Styela clava: one gene and its partners. The protein of the gene in region 2 purifies or fractionates together with the protein of the main gene of each other region. This does not show direct contact. Links are inferred from orthologs where the notes say so. Each region holds a gene or a part of one and is shown on either strand. Other genes may lie near its edges.

The links. The genes of interacting proteins can lie anywhere in the genome.
Region 1: the proteins of zinc finger-containing ubiquitin peptidase 1-like (region 2) and replication protein A 14 kDa subunit-like purify together in Homo sapiens (affinity purification with western blotting; 3 studies listed by BioGRID, with this or other methods). This does not show direct contact. The link is inferred for Styela clava from reciprocal best matches to the Homo sapiens genes ZUP1 and RPA3.
Region 3: the proteins of zinc finger-containing ubiquitin peptidase 1-like (region 2) and E3 ubiquitin-protein ligase UBR5-like purify together in Homo sapiens (affinity purification with mass spectrometry, with the first as the bait; 3 studies listed by BioGRID). This does not show direct contact. The link is inferred for Styela clava from reciprocal best matches to the Homo sapiens genes ZUP1 and UBR5.

Annotation. Positions count from the first base shown.
Region 1 is NC_135261.1:16,318,856-16,326,667, reverse strand, and holds replication protein A 14 kDa subunit-like, read right to left. Parts: upstream 3,009-7,812; 5' UTR 2,855-3,008; coding exon 2,750-2,854; intron 1,559-2,749; coding exon 1,484-1,558; intron 848-1,483; coding exon 742-847; intron 378-741; coding exon 304-377; 3' UTR 63-303; downstream 1-62. UniProt on the Homo sapiens protein: As part of the heterotrimeric replication protein A complex (RPA/RP-A), binds and stabilizes single-stranded DNA intermediates that form during DNA replication or upon DNA stress.
Region 2 is NC_135251.1:18,599,718-18,607,679, reverse strand, and holds the start of zinc finger-containing ubiquitin peptidase 1-like, read right to left. Parts: upstream 3,013-7,962; 5' UTR 1,889-3,012; coding exon 1,660-1,888; intron 1,110-1,659; coding exon 891-1,109; intron 344-890; coding exon 154-343; intron 1-153. UniProt on the Homo sapiens protein: Deubiquitinase with endodeubiquitinase activity that specifically interacts with and cleaves 'Lys-63'-linked long polyubiquitin chains. Shows only weak activity against 'Lys-11' and 'Lys-48'-linked chains.
Region 3 is NC_135263.1:5,825,766-5,833,752, reverse strand, and holds the start of E3 ubiquitin-protein ligase UBR5-like, read right to left. Parts: upstream 3,009-7,987; 5' UTR 2,914-3,008; coding exon 2,846-2,913; intron 2,331-2,845; coding exon 2,238-2,330; intron 1,754-2,237; coding exon 1,590-1,753; intron 1,044-1,589; coding exon 775-1,043; intron 1-774. UniProt on the Homo sapiens protein: E3 ubiquitin-protein ligase involved in different protein quality control pathways in the cytoplasm and nucleus. Mainly acts as a ubiquitin chain elongator that extends pre-ubiquitinated substrates.

The sequences.
Region 1 (7,812 bases), on a different chromosome or scaffold from region 2:
AGTTATCTATGATTAAAACGACTTACGCAAATCTGTTATTAACGTGACTACATGAAACAAAGTTTCAGGCATGACATGTTTCTTTTAATCCTTAAATCAGAAAGAACTTCATATACAAAAAAAACACATGCAACGAATGCTAAAATAAAAAAAATAGGATAGAAAATGACCCTATAACTGAAAGAAATAATGAAGAAAATGCGATCAATTTCAACATTAAGTGGATACAATTGCAGCCGGTTGTAAATAACATCGAATGGAGACGTCCTTTGACACTGACGAAATGTTAATAAACATAGGCTTTCATGATGCTTTCTGCCCATAGTACTGTGGGAAATCATGAATTAGTTTCACACAAGTGTTGTAGAGTTCCATGTCTGTAAGAAAACAGTTGATTGAAGCTATAGGATTATGCTATAAAAAAACAGAAAATGATATTTTTGATTCAGAAGTTCGCCCACCCATTTTTTAAATTAGTGTTCGAAACGTTTCAAAAAATATTTTCACATAGCACCCCAATCTGGATATCAAGATTTTCTTGGGGCCAAGTTCTTGTGTGGGTAACAATCTGGAACAATTACAACAATGTAATAAATTGGACAAATTGGTTTTGGACAAATCGCATACTATTTTTATATGTTTATGCTCGTCAAGATTTTATTTTGGCAAAAATAATTATTTCAAATTTTAGGCTCCGAAACAACATTAGAACATGTTGGTACTCTCTGAATATCAACTTACTAAATTTTCCTTCAGAGTCAAACACGCGATACATCACCCCATGTACGTTACACTTGCTGTCAACTTTTCCAGTGACTTCAACGACACCTTCAATAATATCAGCCAGCTGTATAATAGTAAGAGAATATCGATAATGACTTGTCAGTTAGTTTTGCCAAAATTTTGGAATTGAAAATGCAATTTTAAAAACATAGAATAGATACATTTGTGAAACTGAATTTCAAGTAATTGTAAATAAAATAGATGAAACTAATCGTTGATTTTCGACAATTAGCGTTAATTAAATCTACAATTAGTTAGTAAAGAACTCTGTGTAAAATGCTCGATTAGTTTTATCTTTGGGACATATCTCAAGAAACAAGTAACATACATAATATTAACCAGATGTGCCAAAATTTTTAATTGTTGAGTTTGCTTAAAAAAAACAGCTTATAAACGGATATCATTGTTGGAGTAACTTCAAAAGAAGTCACTGAGCCTAAACACTTTAACTGATACACTATAAATACTTATGCTTTACCTTAATCAAAACATTATGTTTGCAAATATATCTAAATCTAATTTTAGTGATACAGCATTTTAGTGTCACAAATATTGAAAAAGGGGAATATTATTGTTTTGCTATTTTCATATGATCACAATATTATTTCCCTGACTTCTAGATGGGGGTGCATAAAGTAGTTCTCGATTTCAAAGTGTGTGAAAAGGAAAACCAGTGATATGATTGGTCAATACTTCTTACCGGTGAATCTAAGACAACTTGAATATTTTCTCCTGCACCATCTTTCAATACAAATGAATTTCCATCTGGGGATATCTGAAATAAATAAACCACATAAGAGTAAATGTATTCATATTTTACATCGTTTCGACCATTGAACTCGACAGTATTTATAATACAAACTATTTAGCCCAATAATTAAGAGTTAATTGCTAAATTGTATTATATCCAGAAATCAGAAAATTTTATAATAGTGGTTGTTCGTAACGGATGATACCCAATAGCAGAATAAGGAATTACACAAAAAAACAAAGGTTTCTGGGTTTTGATAATCTTGCTATGCCATTGGCAAAGAATAATTCAAAAATTGCGGAGCAGAAGTTTAGGACTTCAAACCATGCTATCTGGAGGTCTGCTATTTCAGCACGGTAATATACTAGATCAGACTGTTACAGTGTTAGGAACCAATGAAAATTACTAGTAGGCTATGTCAGAGTAACAACACCCTAATCAAAACCCAGAAACCAGTGAATACATGCAGCTATAAAATTAGGTTAAAATTGTGGAAATGTGTTTACATGCTGTGGTATTGATATTGTCTGATTTTAGTTTTTACAGTATTTGTTGAGTGCATCACTTTACAGATTTAAGCCTACTTCTGTATTTCATGAATTAGAGAAATAAATGAAAATCCAGAATTTCTTTACGGTAATTCTAGAGCAGTGTCTTTCAACCGGGGTGCCGCGGCACACCGGTGTGCCGTTAAATATTGTCAGGGGTGCCGTGGGAATTTCTCCAAGTTGTGTGTCTGTGCGGTGTAGCGTCCGGCAGAGTAATCGTGTGGTACTGTTCTATATCAGACCGTGGCAGCATCTGGTGGCGATTTTTTTTGTCTTTGTTTTTATTTGATTACTATTCAAGATGTCCAATTCAACATCTTTCTTCAATGTTAAAAATCTTATATTTACAATATAACACTTATATTGTGAATATTACGGGTAGGTATTTTCGCCATATTTTCAGCTGGTGGTGTGCCGCGGGATTTTCTCACCGAAAAAAGTGTGCCTTGGCTCGAAAAAGGTTGAAAAACACTGTTCTAGAGGATTCAGTCAACATTTCTACATCCATCCAGTGTGAAATTCTTAAATTATACAACTCAAAACATATCTTGGTATTTCAGTAGGCCTATTTGAAAAAAAAATACTGAATTACATTAATTATATCATCAGTACCGGTACCGGTATTGATATACAGAAATACACAAAGGTACTGTCAGACTGTAGTTACCTTTCCAGCATCGACAGTCCCAACTACAGTGACATATTTTTCTGTGTATTTTGGTAGCAATGATGCATTCAGACGTGGCCTAGGTCCGGCAAATGCTTCTTCCATATCTGATCGTGGACAGATAATTTATTCTTGTCTCACTCACTGCAGCACTGGTAAAAACTAAATATGGTAGCCTCTGTATGTACCGGTAAATCCTATGAATTTGTGAACAGCCCTTCTAGTTGTATCGAAGTTAAAATTAGAGCTAGTACAGTAGTACCGGTACCGTAAAAGCGCCTAACTTCGGACAAAATTACTATATTTTCGTCAATAACTTGGCCATTTATTGTCCAAAAGGTGCCAAAATTACTCGGTAAAACATTCGTGCGGTAATTTACATTCCTTGCAAATTTCGGTTCAATTGGACTATTTTTACTATTGAAATAATCGATATTTCTTGCCATCTGACCGTTATCCTTCACTGCCCTAACTTCGGACAGTCATTTTCTTCACTGCGTAACCGCGACGCACAGAGAGAAAGAGGCTTCCGATGCGGATGGCGTAATCACGTCGTTGCGTGAAGATAAGACGCTCGATCGTCGTCGTAACGTAACATTGATGTCACGACGAAAATGCATTATTTGAAACTTCCGTCGTCCTATGTTTACATCTTTCGTTCGTTATTTTCGATACTTCAGATGAGTATAATAACACGTTAGTCATTTTAATCAGGAAATGCATACGTAAATATATCTGATGCAAATCGTTTCAATCCGCAATGAAGTATTTTAACGGGCTTCTATCGAAGTCTTTGAAGTATTAATATTCTCGACGGATAGTTTTTTTTTATCGTGCGCGGTTATCTTTATAAATGATAATTTATATCAAACACACGGTAAATTCGATTGTAAAGTTTAATTTAAAATTCAACTTAATCTTGTAAACATGTAGGTCCCGTTTATTTGTTGGAGATAAATTTATTTTTAATTTCGAGTGAATAAAATTCAGCCAGGCAGTATTCAATAACTGTCATTTCGACTACTAATCATAAAATAATGGTTAAGTCAGTGCACTGTGCCATATGGACGTTGGAATTATCATAGTTTTGTATGTCCGATTTTAACGTCATCGATTAAGTGTGACATGTATTTTTATTAATGTAATTTTGGCATATATTCATACATGACCGAACAAAATACAAAAATATTACATTGGAACGCCGTCTTTATCTTAACGGAAATTGTCATATTGGCTCCGTTGTGTCTGGCGTCAAAATTCATTTCCGTGACGCAGTGTGACGTCGTGTCGGAAGTGAGCGAAAAATAATCTACGTGAGGTTGACGTAATTTTTGACGCTGCGTGAAATCTTAATATTCTTACGGAATTTATAATTCAGAATTTTAGGTTTTATTTGAATTTCGTACGACATCCTGCGATCACTTAAATAAATTATATACATTGTTGTCGCCCTCTACCGAATGATGGTATTTTGACGATGATAGCTTCAGTAGGAGCGACGCTATGCGCCGTTGAATGCCGGGCAGGCAATTTTCGGCAAAATTTCCGTTTTTTTACCAAAAAAATAATTATGCAACATTAAAAAAGATGAGAATAGATGTAGATATAACAGCGCAACCTATAATAATTAAAATTAGCAATATACGGCGCGTTTTAGCCAAGATATGGCCGTTCAAAAATTTTGTCAGAAGTACGGTACAGTCAAAGTGACTACAACAGACGTCAGACAACAGACAGTGCAGCGTGATGAACCATTGCTGTGTTTACAAGATTTCCCGCTAAAGCACAAGAGGTGCCGGATTCGAAAGTTTACCGGATTATTACCGGTAAGTTGGGTCAGGATTTACATATTTATCCAGGGTGAGAATGAATCCTCCATTGGTCGGCTCAATCATATGGCGAACCACGGCTGGGTTACCAGTCCATGTCGGGTATGAGATTAGTTAGCCAGTTATTAGTTTTCAGATGTATGGACTTGGTGGTAGGGGAAGCCGTAACCGACCAGCGATTACGTGAACCACCCTACGGCTAGGAGTCCAGCAACCCTCTCGCACATAATTATTTGCTTATGGTAAGATCACACCTACTCACTTTTAAATAATGAAGACTGATATCTGAGGGAAGTTATAGGTCAGGGATGGCGAACCTTTTTCAATGAATGGGTCAAAAATTATATTTTTATCGCGGAACAGAAGAGAGTGGGTCACAGATATTTGATCAATGATTGTATATATAAGAAACTTCTGAAACAAATCTTATAAGCTTCTGCTTCTGTTGGTGTTGGCGTAGTTTTGGGCTTTACTTATGCAGCACTTCTATCAGGGACTTTTCATGGCACTCGATTTTATGAACTTAAAGTACGAAAACACGCATATGAATTACCAAAAATGTTTAGGATAATGCGGCAAATTATTTTACGGTTCCAAAAAATTTGGAGGAAATTCCACTCTGATAGTGTTATATTTTTCGATCAGCTTTCAACCACATTAAGTCACTTTTACACTGCCCCATTGTTGTTTCAGATTTTTAGGTTTTTATTTCAAGTCTGAAAGATTTTGTTCTCTTAACGGCATCGTATGCAAGAAATTAATAAGATACAAAGTAGCATCTAGTTCTCGCATAACTCCTAAAACAGTCTGTAGATGCACTTCCTAAAGCAGCGTTTCCCAATCTTTTTTGGTCGCGGACTATTTTCTCACCGGCGAAAACTTTTGCGGACTCAACGTGCGTTTATTGCAGACGTACTCTGTGTGAAGAAGTACCAAACATAACAGAATTTTAACGAATTTCAAAATCGGAAATTCGCTGCAATACGCGTTTGTTAAAAGAGTCGACTTTTTAGCGTATAAATGGCCTTTTCTGTCGCACAATATTCAATCCATGACAACAACGAGAATTTAAAACGTCTTTCTATTTTAATTTAATTGTGTTCGTAGTCACTCGCGGTTGCGTCGACCTATGACAAAATGAAAGCATTTCTTCTTCAAAATGCCACGGCAAGGTAGCACCCGAATTTGCTATGTCTTAAAACGCGTTTTTAATCGGCCGCGGGTCATCATAAAACAGAACCTAAGATGTACTCCGTTCTTCTATTTTTAGTATTTTGTATTGCGCTTTTGAATTTAGGTCGCCACCATTGACAACTACGAAGAAAAAAATTATTTCTCGTTGTTCGAGCTCGCGAGAAACACCACTTAGGTATCTATCCACGAGTGTGCCGACTCGTGTTTTCGTCGGATATCCGCAAGTGAGTTGTGAAATCCAATCGTTGATTAAGCGACGCGCAAGTGACCTGTTGCGTCACCTGTTACCAAATTTTCGAATAGTAAATTGCTATTCTAATAGTTGAATATTCGAATATATGCCCAGCCCTACTCAGTAACCAGTAATTATTGACTCGATTAATGTTATGTGAATAAACTTGATTTTTATGTTTTATGTAAATTCTAACGTAACTTGACTGATGGTTAAATTTCACAAAAATGTTGCGGCCCTTAGTGAATTTCTGACTCGTTGCGGACTCATTCAAACGCTTCGCGGACTCATTTGAGACCGCGGACTCGGGTTGGGAAACACTGTGACCTAAAGAGACAAGACGTAGCGACGAATGAACCTGTCGGCTGCATTGTTATGTCATAAACGATGTCAGAGTCAATAGCTGAATAACGGTACACAGCGGTGCAGACATGCGTCCAAGATTAAGGGTTTTGAAAATTATCATACCGACCCGAATAATCACCAATTTGAATATGAGCGATCGCGGCCCTGACTGCGCAACTGACGGTACATTATAAAATTGATTGTTAGATTAATTTAAGGCCGGTTTTATCAATTTTTATCACTGATATGTTAGCATTTATTTTATTTTATTCGTGCCTTGGCGGGTCACGAATGAAACGCGGTGGGTCACTTTGTGACCCGCGGGTCAGTGGTTCGCCATCCCTGTTATAGGTGAACACTCAAGTAACAAGATACGGAGCCGAAAAGACTCATAGCGTAAAAAAAATACGCGTTATTACTATTAGGGATATTCATAACCTTTGACCTGTTGCAATTTCCGCATTCGCCGGTGCAAAAAGGGGTGACGTTTGCGATTTTTTGCTCTGGACGTTAACCCGCCAAGGCTGACTTGCAATGTTTCTTGTGTATAAAACGCAATGTAATGGTGTTTTGTTTCTAAATTCATAAAAATATTGTTTTCAGATGCGTTATGGTAGTATATTTTGTAAAAATAACGTACACATGTACGATGTATCGTAGGCCTACATATGTGAATACATAAAAGGGATCAATACCTTAAATAATATAGATACAGTTAGCTCATAAAGTACTGTATGCTACAAGAAGAGTAGCTATTCTTTTTTAAAGCTATTAGGTAAGATTCGTTGAGTTTTCAATAAGTAATAACACTACCAGACTACCGGTATGCCTAGATAAAAACTGTGATCCCAAACAATTACAGAGTAAGTATCTGAATTCTGAGTATATAACTTTTTGTTTCAGTTGTTCACAATTTGAACACTTACAGCTGAAGAAGACCTTCATGCTTGAGTTCTTACAACCTAATCACCAAAGTTGCTGTACATTGATTGAAATACAAAGCCTACTACTGAAGAATATCTTGAAAAATTTGCTTCTGCCGCGTACATCATGGGGCAGTAGAGGGGTTTTATTCAGACTACTGTATGGTATACCAAGTTCACAATTACAGACTTTTGAACTAGCATTTACCTGCCGTGTTACTACTGGAATTGTTTGAGCACGAAGTATGTGAAAACAAAGAAGCTCTTACAAGATGCTAAAAATGAGAGTACGGTAACCAATCCAGTAAAATCTCTAGCAAACAAAAGGCTATTTTTTGTTCCTACATTTTCTGTGAGATCTGATATTTCATTTAAAATGCGCTGTGTAATTTTTAGTTATTGTAACACGTTTTTATGGCATTACGATGGTTGTCTTTCCCCGTTTTTTGGCATCGTAACGGCTGGTACTGGTAGTCTTCTGTCACAGATTGCATACCTGTAATACGGCGTTTTAGATTCCGTGTCCATATATTTGAGCAT
Region 2 (7,962 bases):
AGCAATACTCCTGAATATTGGTATTTAACCTCATCATACGATTTTGAGCGAGCTAAATCATTTACTTTTAAAGCAAAATTATATTTGACAGGAGTTTATAGTTTTGATCAAACAGTAAACATATACACTCATGATTCTCATGACCATATCTACCTGTAATAATCAAAACATGATGATGATGCTCTTCCAACTTGTTTATCCATATTTTTAAACGCTTGATTCCGGAAACCAGTCCTTTGGTGTTCTTTGCCCATTCCATATTTACTCCTTAATTCTTCAAAATATAAGTTTTCCGCAACGTCTCGACTGGCTTGTAGTTCGAATCTTTCTTGCTCTTGTAACTCTAGAATGGAGATATATTATTAGAGTATCAAAGTGTAGAAGTGGTGTTACAATGAGGTTTATTTTGATAGCACAAAACAAAAATGTAGATCGGAGTAAACTCATTTGGAGTAAGCCCATTTGAGCAAGAGTGATGACAGTCGCTATACTATTGATCTTATTTAAATGAGTTTTTGTTAAAGTTTGTGTGATTCGGGACTAAATAATTTTTATGAGATGCTTCACACCAGAGAAGAAAAGACATGAACATAGGAATCCATTAGATTAGGAAAAAACATACTTCATAAATTTAACATCTAATACCGCAATCATTGCATCTGAACCTAGGTTGGCCAGGACCCAGACTAGCAAACCAAGCAGTAATAAGAAGTGAAGATACATATAAGAAACTTTGTGAGCCAGAAATAAATTATAGCAGAGAATTTTATCTGTAGACGCATCTTAAAAATTTACTTATTAGTTACTACATAAACAACTTTTCAAATAGGCGAGATAACTTTGATACATTGAATTCTTTGCAATATAGTAACTTAATATACAAATCATACTTATAGCCAACAGCTCATCTTGTGTGTAATCAGATTTTACTGACATATGTCCCTGTTCATTGTCAATAAAATGAGACTCTGTATGAAAAGTTAGTTTGTCAACATTGTCAAATCCAGTTAATTGACAAACAGGACAACTTAATACTTCTGATTGAGATGAATCAACATTGTTACTACATTCTCCATTAACCTCACTCCCTGATGATGCTCCACACTCATCTGCAACAGATAGGATTTTGTAACACTATACTATATTTAAGCTTTAATTATCTAATATCCTGACTAAGGGGCTTTCAGTAATTATTGATAGGCCTATGAATGATTACGCCAGTGTTTTTCGAGCTTTTATGATCTGTGGCCGCCATTCAATGTATCTTTAACACTTGTGGCCCCCTGATCTTTTCAAAAAAGACATATTTTTGCTTCTTATGCGTTTCTGTTAGTTAGTTTATGCAACACATTCAATAATGAAAGGCCAACTAAAGTAAGAAAAATCCTATTACAATCAACAATTTAGGCAAATCTCTGTCAATTTACTGTGAATAAATGTAGTCACTGCTAATAGTACCTTTAGTCATGTCCTCCAGAAAACCAATTCATGGATCACTAGGGGAGGCTTAGGACCCAGTTTGAGAAACTTCATACTCTGTTTAGGTAACTTAACCAGAATTTACATTTGATATTCAAAGAGTATGTTAATAAATAAATCAAACTAATGATCAGACCTTTCGCACCTTCAGATTTTGCTTTAATAAATTAAAGTGGATACCTTTCTTTGGTGTACGCATTTCCTCCTTGTGAACATCCATTACATGGGTTTCCATCTTGTTTTCATCTTTATTGGAAACCACGTATGTACAAAATGGACATTTTGATTTGTCAATATCATTTTCCCTATTGCAAGTTGCATGATCCAATTCAATGTGCTTTGTCATTTCATCTTCAGAAAAATATCTCTGGCCACATATTAAACATGAATCACACCAACTTTCATCCATGATTTTGAACAGAAGAGTATTGAGTAAACATTTGGTGGGACAGAACTTATATTCAGTATATTACTAATCAGTAAACTAATCAAGTAATCACTGAATCATAAACACAAAGAATTATTCACCATTGCCGAATGTAGGCTTACTTGTCAATTAAAAAACACATTTGTATATGCACTGCATACAGCACATCATTAAAAACATGATGTTCAGATTCTTAACAATATTATTTTTCAATTTCGAAAACAGTACCAGAATAAGAAACCCTACGCAACATTGTATTTCAATTCCATGTATGAGTGTTCAATTAGCAATGTAAAATAGAATGTGCAACAGAAATTACACACTTAAATATGTAAATACAGAAATCAGGAAATGGCAAATTTTCAAAGTTCACCAACAGCAATACAGATCTAAAGCACTGATGGAAAAGTCCCAAAGGAATCGCTGAAAGTACACTATGACTATAGAATCAATCTTGCTCGAAATGCAAAATTAGCCTTTAGGACAATTTGAAAGCTACAGCATGATAAATACGTCTGTCTACACAGTATATCATATCATAATATAGTGAATTAAAAATACAGTTAATTGGTGGAATTTGTACAAAATGATGCCATAATGACAGTATATATGCAACATCAAACGAATATTTTGAATTAATGGTTTGTTCTGAGAACTTCTGACACTATTTCGTTCATTGGCTTATTGAGGAAGCGTCTTTGACAAATACAGGTGATTCCCCATCATTTTCTGGTACGAAGGAGTGTATGGAGTCACGAGTTGACAATATTAACGTCAAAATCTCTCATCCGGTTACCATTCCACGTCGTGAATGGGATTAGTTAGATAGCAGACTATATTTTTTTCAGATGCATGGAACCGATGGTGGAGAATGCTGTAACCGACAAGCGTTTATGTGACGGCGAGGAATCCAGCGGTTCTTTCACCACAGAGAGTCAGCATTGTCCCACACGATATTCGAACATGCGAACCACGCGGGGTAATCAGTGCGGTGGCAAGCGTGTCCCTAACCTGCTTTTGTTCGGTAATCGAAAAGTTTTGAATAGTTACCCATAAATTACCATACATTTATGCTGCCGACACACACACACACTGTTTTGCTAAATTCCCGTCCTTAATCTTGTTTGTATGTTTACGAGAAAAATCGCCATTTCTTAATTCCTGCTTACTTTCTGTTGCGTAGTGTCCATTGCCTGTTTAGTTTACTATGTGCTCGGCCTTGGTGATTACCGACAACGTTGAATAAATAAAAGAGTTTGATTTGAAAATTCCATAATCAAAAAATGGAGAATTCTGCAAAATGGGCAAAACCTTTATAAACACAAACCTGGTTAATTAAACTGTAGCGAATGTGCATTGTGTAACTATGAATTATAATGTATTTAACCCTTTCATTTTAATAGTGTGTTCCGTTTCCCACAATAGGTCATTTATTGTAGCAACACTGAGTACTGATTACATGTACTGCCTTTCTCGTATCGACCAATTTGATGACGTATCGTCCCGGCTTGCCGAGAGGGCTGCATAATATTGTGTTTGGATTCACTTCTGTTTTTACTGCGTTAGGTGTGATGTGTTTTGATCCACTTCTGTTTTTACTTCGTTAGGTGTGATGTGTTTTGATCCACTTCTGTTTTACTGCGTTAGGTGTGATGTGTTTGGATTCACTTCTGTTTTATTGCGTTACGTGTGATGTGTTCTGATTCACTTCTGTTTTATTGCGTTAAGTGTGATGTGTTTTGATTCACTCCTGATTTACTGTGTTAAGAGTTAAGTGTGTCTCAATTTTATCTGTTTCGGAATTTGGATTGTGCATCTTCCTATAATATACAACAACGATTAGCATCAACACTGTGCGCTTATTATCGTCTGAAGGAGTCCAGATTGGAGTCATATTCCATAACGCGTGTCAAAACAATAACGCGGGAATCGAACTTAAATATATAGGGTGATAGTCAATATCCCCAAAATCCATCTCATCTCTTTCTCCCTATAAAACCAGGCTTGGGTAAGAAAAATACACAAATGTATTGAACTTTCGGGCTGTTATACTTTTAAAACACTTAAGTTGATAATGACCAATTCAATCTGATATTGCCTTACTTTAATTGTCCTGGAAGGATTAAAAAAAACGGAAATTCCCATTCCCTTTTGAAACATTCTCCGCGATTACGCGGATTATTATTGTATTTAGTTTTGATACTTATTTTTGCGAATTCTTTATCGCCGTTAAAAAAATCTCAAGATCTGTGAGAAAATCCCATAGAGTACAATTAAATACATATAAAGTATATCAGTATATCAAAAATACATATTCATCGCCTCGAAATCCCCGCGGAACGACTTTTTCGACGGATAATTATGATTTTTCTGTTGTGCAAAGTAATCAATCCATAACCGACAGGGACATTGCCTTCAATTTAACCTGCGATTGCGTCGACAAAATGGAAGTATGATTACTCTAAAATACCACGGCAATCCGCGGACATGAAAATGTGTGGTAAACTGCCCGGTTATATATATCTAGTTTTGAATTTTGATAAATATTATTATACTCAGATTATTTTAAAAATAAAACCGTTAGAAAAATCTCTAAGTCTTCTATAAAATCTCATGGAGTAAAATTTATTTTAGTACAATAAAAATTGATTGAATATACTTTAATTAATTATCTTATAATAATATATATCATCACAACTTGGGAAAATATCAAAAAGAAGAAAGAGGTTCGAGTCTTAATACCAAAGTAAACAATGACAGCAAGAATATCTTTTAAAAAAAATTGTGTGTCTGCATGTATGAATAATTGTCCATTCCTCACTTGTAATAGCAATGGACTTTACGGAATTACTTTACTCAAAATTTGGCATTGGAAAACTAAATAATCACATAAAATCTGGAATGTATGAAGATATAATTAAAATAGAACACTTATTCATATTTGTTGATTTTTAATATTCTCGACAATTAACTTAGATTTCCAAGTTGTAAGTGAAGTTTTTTGAAAACATTGCATGAAATGTAGTAAACACAGAACATAATAAAAAATAACTGTTTGTTTATATAAGTATAAAGTATTGAACTACAGCATATCACATCTATGAAACCCCAGTGTTTCTATATTCAAAATATATGTGATATATATTAGTGAATTAATCGTTTGCAACGATATATATGACTAGTTCAGTCTGCGTCATCTATATCTGTTCATAGAAGCATAAATGATGCAATAAATCCCTCATATTTATTTTTAATGTTTTAAGACTATTTGGCAGGCTGCTAAAATATCCTAATCCATCAAATTTATAATGGTTGTCAATGTCAATGGAACTGGCACAAATTCCTGACTTGTGACGCTATGGTCGGAAGACTTCCATTTGTTTCTGAATTCATGTGAGTTAAGTTTTAAAGCTTGAGTTAAAAACATGTTTCCATCTGTAAAACTTTCAGACATTGGAGAGAGAGAGAGGGGACCAATTCCATCATCAACTGTAGTTGACGTACAACAATCTGTAAAGATCAAATCCTCGGTAAGTTCAGATCCTCTGGTTGGTGTAGCAGCTTCTTTAATAGTTTCATATCTATAGCAACTGATACATAACAAAGGCAGAGTGTGTATTTGCATTAAAAAAAATTGTATAATCTTCGATTTGATAACAAGGGAGCTATGCTCAAATACGTGAACACTGAATGTAGAACTAAATATTTTATCACCAATTCCCCAAAAATCATATGCGGTAACTGTATCAGGGTAACGGTACAGGGACTGTCATAGCTTTTCCAGATCCTGTGACGATGATCCATTCTCCATGATTCAGTTTCAACGTGAATTGAAATAGGCGCTGATCCGAGTCATTTCGTGTTACCAGATCAGGTACCGCAGTACACAGTTCGCGATAAAAAAACCTCCCACTTTAGAGGTCCTAAGATTGCCCCGATATTCGGATATATGAAACAAGAACAACAAGATGATGGAATGATAAAAAAAAAGATCCATATAACCACTTGACGAGAGGCACAACATTTTTTTTTTGCGAAGCGATTAGGGGTGTGAGTACGTTGTTGAAAATTGAGTAATTTTCCAATAAAAGTTAAGCTCTTTGATGTAGTTATTTGACAGTGGTGTCTATGTCTAGGAGCATTGCTCTCTTGTTTTTATCCATCTCAGTTAATGATTGGTGCTGTAACCTGAATTCGATCGTTAAAATAAAATAAAGCGTAAACATATGAACATGCCCTTTATTGGTTTTGTACACGGACTGACCTAAACCCAACAAAACGTTGAACAAACACTGTTTTATACCAATTTTCATTATTTGTTATATATTTACGTTCGAGTTGCTATTTGCAATGTGTGTCATTTTAACGACAAATGTTCAGAATAGTTCCCATAAATGCACAGTAATACGAGATGTATTCAAAACTGGTGGATATATATATATATGAATATAGATACAAATGAGTCATATAGGGAAATGTAGAATAGTAGCATCATGCGACATATAATGAAAATATGATTTGAAGCATAGAACTGTTTTACAATTTCGTTAAAATCAATAAACTTTAGTTCAGGTAGATATAAAACCCACGTGCTAGTTCAAGGTGTCCATATCGAAATAGTTTGATAATCTAGAATTTTCATAAGGTCAATTTCGCAAAACACTATGTCCGTTTGTGTAACGGTTAATAAAAATAATGATTTCGTGATGATGATAAAGTCATTAAACATAAAATAAATACCCTTCGTGGTTTTATACAAAATGAAATTCTCAGTTTGCAACGAATTATTCCATAAAATGATGTCTATAATGATTGATAAAACAGCTAGAAAAACGAACTAAAACATGGTAAATTTTATTGCATTATTATTGCAATTTCCGGCATTATTATCAAGACATACCAACAGTGAAGAACAGATAGTTTGGAGTTGACAGACTGAAATCTACGAGTAAATATGGAGGTACAGGGCACAGAATGTTAGAATCGACTCTTCGTTCCACATACGAATATGCATTGTTGTGAGATACTTTACGTTGAATCTGGTACAATAACACTGATCAATGTGCGCAAATTTGCAGAATTCATAATGTAAAACGACTTGATCTGGTGTTTTATCAGACGATCATTAATAGATTTCACTTTGGGAACTTATTTTCTACACTTTATTCGAAGTAAAAAGACAGACATTCATGCGCATATATGTTAACAAATATTAAAACAGAGCATTATCATACTGTACAGAGCTAACATACTATTTGATACAGCGGTGACAGTTATGCATAGACAAACATTTACAATAATAACTTGACAGACATTATACAGAACATAATATGGCCCAAGCATGAAATGGGATATCGAAGTATAATATTTCATTTAATATGACGGTTCATACTGAGCACGCGGAAGAGGAAATGGCAAAATATGCCAACAAAGAAGCACCACAAAAGAGCTTGCGCTAGGCAAATAATTTCGGGTTAGGCGGTAACCCAAAGCACCAATGTCTGAAGAGATAACGAAAGCATTTTAACAATGAAGACATCATAACTACGCTCTTCATTGAGCGACGGTCCGAAATAATTTATTTTCCCCATTATTCGATCAAAACCGCGTAACACATTCACTTAACTACGCCAAACAAAAGTTATTGGATTTCGCGTCATAAAGAAATTTAATGATTATACAATGACAACGGGATCTTGTTAAAGAGTCGTGTTCACAGCATTTATTTTTCTCGTAATGTGAATTTAGAGACAAATAGGTTTACCGTTAAAAAGGCTAATAGATTCATATATCCATCTGCATTATTTAGGTGTATGAGTTTACGATACTTACTGGTCTATGAAATTTTCTTACAATCGTCCTGGAATGTCAATTTTAACCCTTTGAGGGAGCACTCTTTAGAAATGCGTTAACAAGCGTCGACAAAAATGTATTTCCAATCTCTCGGTAGCGTGAAAATATTATCATAAAGGAGGTTTCAATCAGCTTAGGCAGTAAAACCTCAGATTATATATACGAGGTATGAAATTCCCACATAGCCTGTTTCGTAATCTTCA
Region 3 (7,987 bases), on a different chromosome or scaffold from region 2:
TTAGCTTACGTAACTCATTTTACCTGCAAATGTTCCCACTTGTAACAAAATTTTTATGATAGTTTTTTATAAAAACATTTGCTTTGTGGTATTCCCCAAGTAAACCTGTGTTTTATAGAACATTGTTCGCAAAATCAGCAAAATTGAGAATTATATTTATGTTTTTTATTTCAATTTAAGAATTCTATTAATTTGGTAATCCAAATCAAGTATAGGCATCCAAACATTGATAGTAACTAATTCCATACTGATACAAAAATTGTTATGTACTGTCAAGAGTCAAATCAACTTTTCATATGGATTAAGGTGCACAACTCAGAACACTTGGCATTAAACCATTAGACTTAAGGGTACTGCTGTAGTGTGTGTACCAGGTTAGGGTTAGGCCATAATTTTGTTCCGATTTTCCGTATTTTAGTTCTATTACAAGTTCAGGGATTGTCTGTGTTATCCAAGTGAATATACCCCCTGCCCATAGGTTTCAGTCCCTTTACATAACTTGATGTAAAGTAGGCGAACAAAATTAGTAACCTCCATATTGGTAGTTTGGTACACACATACTTCTGGAGCAACGACTTAAGTGTGTTGACATCGCAGGTTACACACTTAAGTACAAATACAATGCTCAATAATGAATCAAGTGTACAATGCCTGATCAGACAAATAGACAAATTTCAGTCCTTCCAAAAAATGCTTGTTTTGAGCAAGATATCGAAAAGCACTGTACACAAAATTTTTAATCAAAATTCAACCTCACAATGAATTCACTCTTACCTGAGAAGTTCTTACAAGTCTCACTCCGCTTGCGCTTAGAGAAGACGCTGCATCTGAGCCGCTGTTTCTTGCTCGATGTCGAGCAGTTGTTGTGCTCGCTGATGTTACTGATGATGAATTGGTGGTGGCAGAAGAAGACGCGATCGAACGAATCACCCCAATATGTGTTCCCCATCTTCGTAGAGCAGATGAATGGCCACTGGATAAATCAGTGCCTGATATTATCCATGGTGTGCTACCTGTTCGAGGAAGTTTCGGTGGTCTCTCTCCTAAAATTGAATATACGAAGGACAAATTATTAAAGATGAAATATTAAGTTATTTAATTACAATGACACCAACACATTCTGTGTTGAATTCAAAACATAAGTCTAACAACCAGAACTGTGGAGTCGGAGAAAATTTACAATCGACTTCAACTTTTGGGTCAGGATTGAACAAAGCTTTAGCTCTAATAACGCAGAGTTGAGAAATATTATCAATCTGATTCAGATCCAGAATTCTGAAGAATTTCGACTTTGAAAATCAAATTAAAAAAAACAACATTCGCATATATGTGCTTTCTTTAATAGAAATTAATGCTTTTTAAGTTTTGTTTCACTTTATCACCATTGAAAGTCCGCAATACAAACAAATTAAGAATTTTGAATCAGACTCTATAAATGCTTGAAAGTTCAAAAGTTGAAAAGGTTTGATCAACTATTCTTCAGTTTGCTACACTTATATGAAAGTGAAAGTTATTCTTTCCATATGATTTATTATAGTATGTGAAATTATCAAAATATTATACCATAAACAGATAAACTGATATCTCACCTGTTTTACTTGTAGATGTTGATTTACTCGCACCAGATGTAGCTGTGGTAGTAGTTGCTTCAATTTCAGGTTCTTCTTGTGGATCGTGGGCAAAATATTTTACCCGACAGACTCTTCCATCCTCGAGAAGAAAAGCAATATGCTTCGATGAAACCACACATTGCCTGATAATAAAAATATATAAAACAAGATATCAGTGGCGGCTTGTACAGAGACTTGTTTAGAGTGTAAGAGACAAATGAGTGGCATATATATTATTGGGTATGCAGTTACTACCAACAATAACGATATTCACGACGTAACAAAGTAATTCAACTCTTGACGTTATTAATGCTTTTCGATTCACATTAATTATTGTTTTCCCACATGAATTTTAAATAGTCAAGTAGCAAAAATCGCTTCATTAAGAGTTATTTAGGATTATTAAGACTTGTGGAACGAAACAGCAAGTTCCTCATTGATGCAGACTGTGGATGAATCTATGACCCATATTCCTCTTTTTCATGATGAAAATACAGTGTTGAGCCATCCAGCAAAAGACGTTAGCTACGCCTGGCCGAAACTATCAAATTACTGGTTACTATCACAGATAAGTGAGTTGAATACATGAAACATATTAGACATAGATAATATTTGGTCAGGGCAAACCTTATCTCATATTGTTGAAGTTCTTGTAGGACTGGTGGTACATCCTCGATGGACGGTGCATAGAAACTTCTCTTTTCACTGAGAGCCTGTAACCTGGAAAACAAGTTTTCTATCGTTATTTACAAGTTAATGAAAAAATTACAGAACACACATTCAAGTATCATACAACATACTGATTCTAATTACCGACAAAACAACAATTTAATATAGAACACACTAATTTTGCACTATCTGATGAGCTATTTAAAACCGATTCAATTACACAGAGGTTGCGTGTGCTTAGAACATACTTGCCTTTGCACCATTAAGCAACATGGATTCAAATCCACTGGGGGAATAATTATGTGCAAGAGGCTTGCTGTATTCTTAGCACTTCATGTAACAACTGGGCAGTAACATCATCCTCGACCATCAAGTCCATGCATCTGAAGCAAAAAATTCTCAGCTACTCCCATACCCAACATAGGTAACCAAAGGGTGTGACATGATTAACATATGATTGAGCCGTCTTTACTCTTTACTATATTTCTATATGACAGGATAAATATGAAATACCATTCTAAGTAAAGGCTAAAACAACTTTATAAAATAGAGAAATTCCATATTACTTCTCTTGAAATTGTTCTTCATTAGCAGGTGACTTCTGAACAATAAAGTGGATGCTGGACTTCGACATGTGTGAGCAAATTACCACACCACTTGATCCTTTTGTACTTTGTAAAAATCGTAGGTCTATATACGTTTTTATGTATATCACTATACTGAAGCGTATGAGCTGTGACATAAAAATTTGTGATTGAAAATTATAGTAATTCAGAACATTTATTCAGTCAACTACTTCCATCTTCAAGAAATAAAAATTAGAATTCTACGAAAATGAGATGGAACCAGCGCTAGTGCCGATTAACCCACATTTTCATGAATGGAAGAACACATCACAAGAATAAAGTCTTAAACAGCATACATGAACAAAAGAATATAAAATTCGCGGGAATATTATTTGTAAACTAGAGCTGCGTGCAGCTTTTACAGACTTCCCGCGTAAAAAAAACTGAAGACGCGTTTTTCTCACTGGAGCGTGAAAGCGTGGTCAGTCATGCATAAAATTTGCAATTTATGATGGGGGACTTATTATATGCATGTGATGTAAATTTCAAGTCTCTCAGTAGTGTCGTTCTCGAGAAGAAGATGAAAATCCTATATTGCTCACTGGAGCGTATCGCCGAGGTTACTCATGCGTATCCTTGATATGTCGTATGCGGAACATGTCCATTAATCATTGTTATGAATTTCAACCCAATAGCATGTATCAATTTTGAGAAATCGCAAAAAAACTGAAAACGCGTTTTGTTCACTGGAGCGTGAAAGCGTGGTCAGTCATACATAAAATTTGCAATTTATGATGGGGGACTTATTATCTGCATGTGATGTAAATTTCAAGTCTCTAAGTAGTGTCGTTCTCGAGAAGAAGATGAAAATGTAAAATCCTATAGTGCTCACTGGAGCGTATCGCCGAGGTCACTCATGCGTATCCTTGACATATCGTATCCGGAACATGTCCATTAATCATGACAAGCAGCGGGAAGCCTAATAATGCAAATTGATCATAACTTGGAAGTCAATTAGTAGTCCTGTAATGGAACGACAACATGCATTCAAACCTCATTTTAGAATTTTTTGTGTAAATGCCACATACTGCAGTTCTGACATTACACACACAGCTGGTTTTTAGTTCACAGTTTTGTTTATAAAAAAACTTGCAGGCAACCTGACTACAAAGTGAAACGCCTGAGTAATGGCCTCCGTCAATATTCATGTTCAGCCTATGACTGTATGACTTCTTGCTTTCTTCTTCAGTCCGCCATGTCGGTGAGTGAACGCGCCTAATAGGGTTTAAACTTATTTTATTAGTGTTATTCACTTCCCAGCTTCTTTGCCTTCAATCTTTCCTGAACATATGTTTAATTTGTTTTTGCGAATGAATCGAAATAAAATCTATTTTGAAATGACGTAGTTCTGGCATAAAAATCTAAACGTTCCGGTTTTAATTTCATCATACTTTTTTAGACTTGCGCTGTCGAATGAGATATACTGATGCAAAATCGCTGGTCACCGGAGCATCAGTATTACTGATAACGATACGGTATATAGGTTAGGTGTAGACTACGAGAAAGAAAATGAAAGTTAAACCGGTAATCCCTGAAACCTCGTGTTAATGCATTCCTTTTAACGTTACGCCGTGCAGATGCAATAGGCAGAGATACCTCTGATCTCAGTCAAAGAAGAAAATTCCCACGCGTAAAAATAGATGTACCAAGTAGCAAGTACCAACTGACTTTTTTTTTATTTTATAAAAAATATTTTGATTAGATCATTGGTGGGACATAAAGTAAATCAAATATCAATTCTAATACATATTGAAAAAAAAAATATTTAATCGATTAACTTGAAATACAAACATAATCACGCCCTAATTAATTTTACTTATAATTACCTGTACTGTCATTGATTATTAGTATTTAAAATTATTTGGACGCTAATTTGGCTAGTTTTGGCTTCTATTTGGTCAGTGAAGCAGGTATAGCCCACTTCTTCATATATCCAACTTGGCAATACTAATGGGGCAATTTCGCATTAAGTGACTCCAATTATAATCAGCTTGACGAGGAATACTTTTCTATCCACAGTATATTATTCATGTTGGCTAATTCGGTATCCAATTTGGCAACCCTCATAAAATTATTAATTTGATGTGGTAAAAGAGTTTACTTACTTCTTTTTCATTTGTTTGTATATTTTTCTTTTTACTGAGTAATTTGATTGATTTTAATTCTCGCTTTTTTCACTTCCGACCTTATCATGTCTCGATGATTGTGTGCGTGTGTGTGCGTGCGTGCCTTAATTACTTTTTTTACTTTTGGGTGAGCGAACACGTACTATTTCTTTTATCAATACCTTTCCATCTAAAATTGGCACGCTTCAAAACTTACTTGAGATTTCCCGATTCTATAATCAGTTACTTTTATTTTTCGTTTTTATCTATTGTAAAGTTGAAACGTGAATTCCAATCCACTCAACGTTGTTGTAGTGGAGTCCTATTTGCATCCGCCCCCACCTTGAAGAATTATGCGCAATCTCCCAGCTTCTAGTAACTGCACAACCAAAGTAAAGAGGCAACGAGATCCTTAGAAAACGAACTGTATTCATCACTCTCCACATACAGACATGTGAGTAAAAAGTTAAAGATATGTATGACAATCACATGGTATTTAAAATTAAAAAAAAATAATAGCGGCTGTGGAGTATGAAAAGTTCAAGACAAAGAAAAGAACAAAAATTCATAGCTCATGAACTCTCAATTTTGCCTCCATTACTTTGTGAAGGCCAATATATTTCGAGTGGCTGAATTAGTTTACCTTTATGATAGCAACGATTTTGTATTTAATATAGCAAGATTTTTTTCAATTTAATTGAATTGATATTATTTCCCAAAGCAATGCTTGAATCGTCTAGAATGGATCAGTGGTGTCAAACTCATGGGTTTTCGAGAGCCGCATTGCATTTTGGAAATTGTAAAAAGGGCCGCAAACAGTTTTTGATAATGTATACTTGAAAGATATTTTTAAGATAGTTTTAGTTTGTGACATATGTTGTGATGCAACTAAACAGTTGGATTAAGTTTCATTATTTTCTTTAATTTCAAATGCAATTACATATTAATATTTGCATTCCACTATTATTGCAAGTTACTGTATTTATTACAAAAAATCATAAAATTCTATGTACATCCATCAAAATCATTTTGAACAAACTTTGGATAAGGAAAGAATAATACATACTTTAAAAATTACTTAATTTAAATATATGGACCTAAAATTAACAAAAATACTACAGTATAAACTCAATGATTTTTTAATTACATTTGTCCTGACGTTTGGTATCTTTTTTTGTGTCACCAGCATACTGAGGCCAGGCTGAAATGATTTTATAGTACCAACTCTAACTAACGAGGTCACATGATCATGGGCTAATTTGGATCTTTGCGAAAATTAATTCCAGTAATGCAAAAAAGTTATTTTTATAATTTCATGTAGAGATCAGTAAAAAAACACATGACAGATTTTTTCGACAAGACATTTCGCACCACATTGCGTGGCATTGGATTGCTTGAATTATTATTGATATTGATTTTAGTAACTAAGTCGTTGTATAATTATATTAATATACAAACACATGAAAATTTTCTGTTCAATGTGCTTCAGAATTTTGTGAAATGCAGAAATATTGCAACTCTCATTTTCTTTGAAAATGCCACCTTCTTCATGTACTTTGCGTTTAATTTAATCACTCAAGTGTTTTATTCAAGTATTCTTTTGCTAGCTTGATGTGTATTCTTAATTGGGTCAAAATGTGAACAAAAAAAATTAATTTTCCAAAACTACTTTCAGTAAATTGTTTTCTGTGTGAATAATCAATTTCACTTTAAAAGGTTTGAAAAATCTATTATGCATACTCACGCTTTAGAATTTTTTGTTATGTTCCTTAAGCCCTGCAGGATGTGGGGGGCATACACAACTCTATCGGAGGGTCAAATGTCTTTGCATGCCTTTATAGGTTGTTCTTGTATTGCAAACATTTATGGAGTACTCTAAATATACTTCTTGCAATCACACGGTCACTGATATGTCACCAGACTTCTGATATCTCCTTTTCTGCTATAGTTGTCCTGTGGATAAATAATAGGAAATTGAGATTAGACGATTTGTTGAAACTTTTGCTTTATGTCGGCTTTATTTCTTGATTGATATACTTACTATTTTTGCTATTGCCTCTTGTGCTGCAGGAGTCTCACAATGCTTAGACAGGTTTGTCCACATTCACATCTGAAGAAAAGAAAGAGAGGAGATTTATTAATTTTCGTCAAGAATAAATGAAGCAGTCTATATGATTTAGAATGGAAAAGCTAATAAATCCAATATCTCATGTTTAATGTAAAAAATGTTTTACTGAATTTGGTATATAAACCAACTAATACAGGAAATTAGTCAGAAAATTACAAGCATTCGTGGCTCCATATACTTGAGAGATCAGACTATACAATACAGACCGGTATGAGTGAAATGTTAGGTGAAATTGTTAACCCTTTGATTCAATCCTCACTGATTAAAAAAAATCTAAATGGAGGTGCATGAACTATTTGAAACCATACGGGGTAAGTAAATATGCAATTTCGGCAAATGGGCAACTACGTACCGTACTGAATTAATAACTTCGTAGTATTTGACAAAAGCTGGCTTTCCCTTATGTACTTAACAGTGCGATGCCCGGGTGTGATATACAACAATAGTATTTACCTTACCTTTTTCCGATTTCCTTTTACCTCAACTTTCCAAAATATCATTAAAATCGACAACAACTGTCAAAGCCGGCACGAACACCATTCGTGCTATGCCTTGAAAGCAGCACACATCCGCTCGTTTTCGTCTCGTCAAGTATGTGCATTGGAGCGTGCTATCGGATACGATCTTCGGCCAAAAATGCCGTAGTTGCGCATCATGTTGCTTAATGTCATTGATTGCACGTGCAAAAAAAGATAGGATTTACATATTCATCTCGGGGAAAGGAAGACCGATAAATTGACTTAATCATATGACGAACTGCGGCCTCTCGCCCTGTTAGAATGGGATAGGATTTACATATTCATCCCGGGGGAGAGGAAAGCCGACAAGACGGCTCAACCATATTACGAA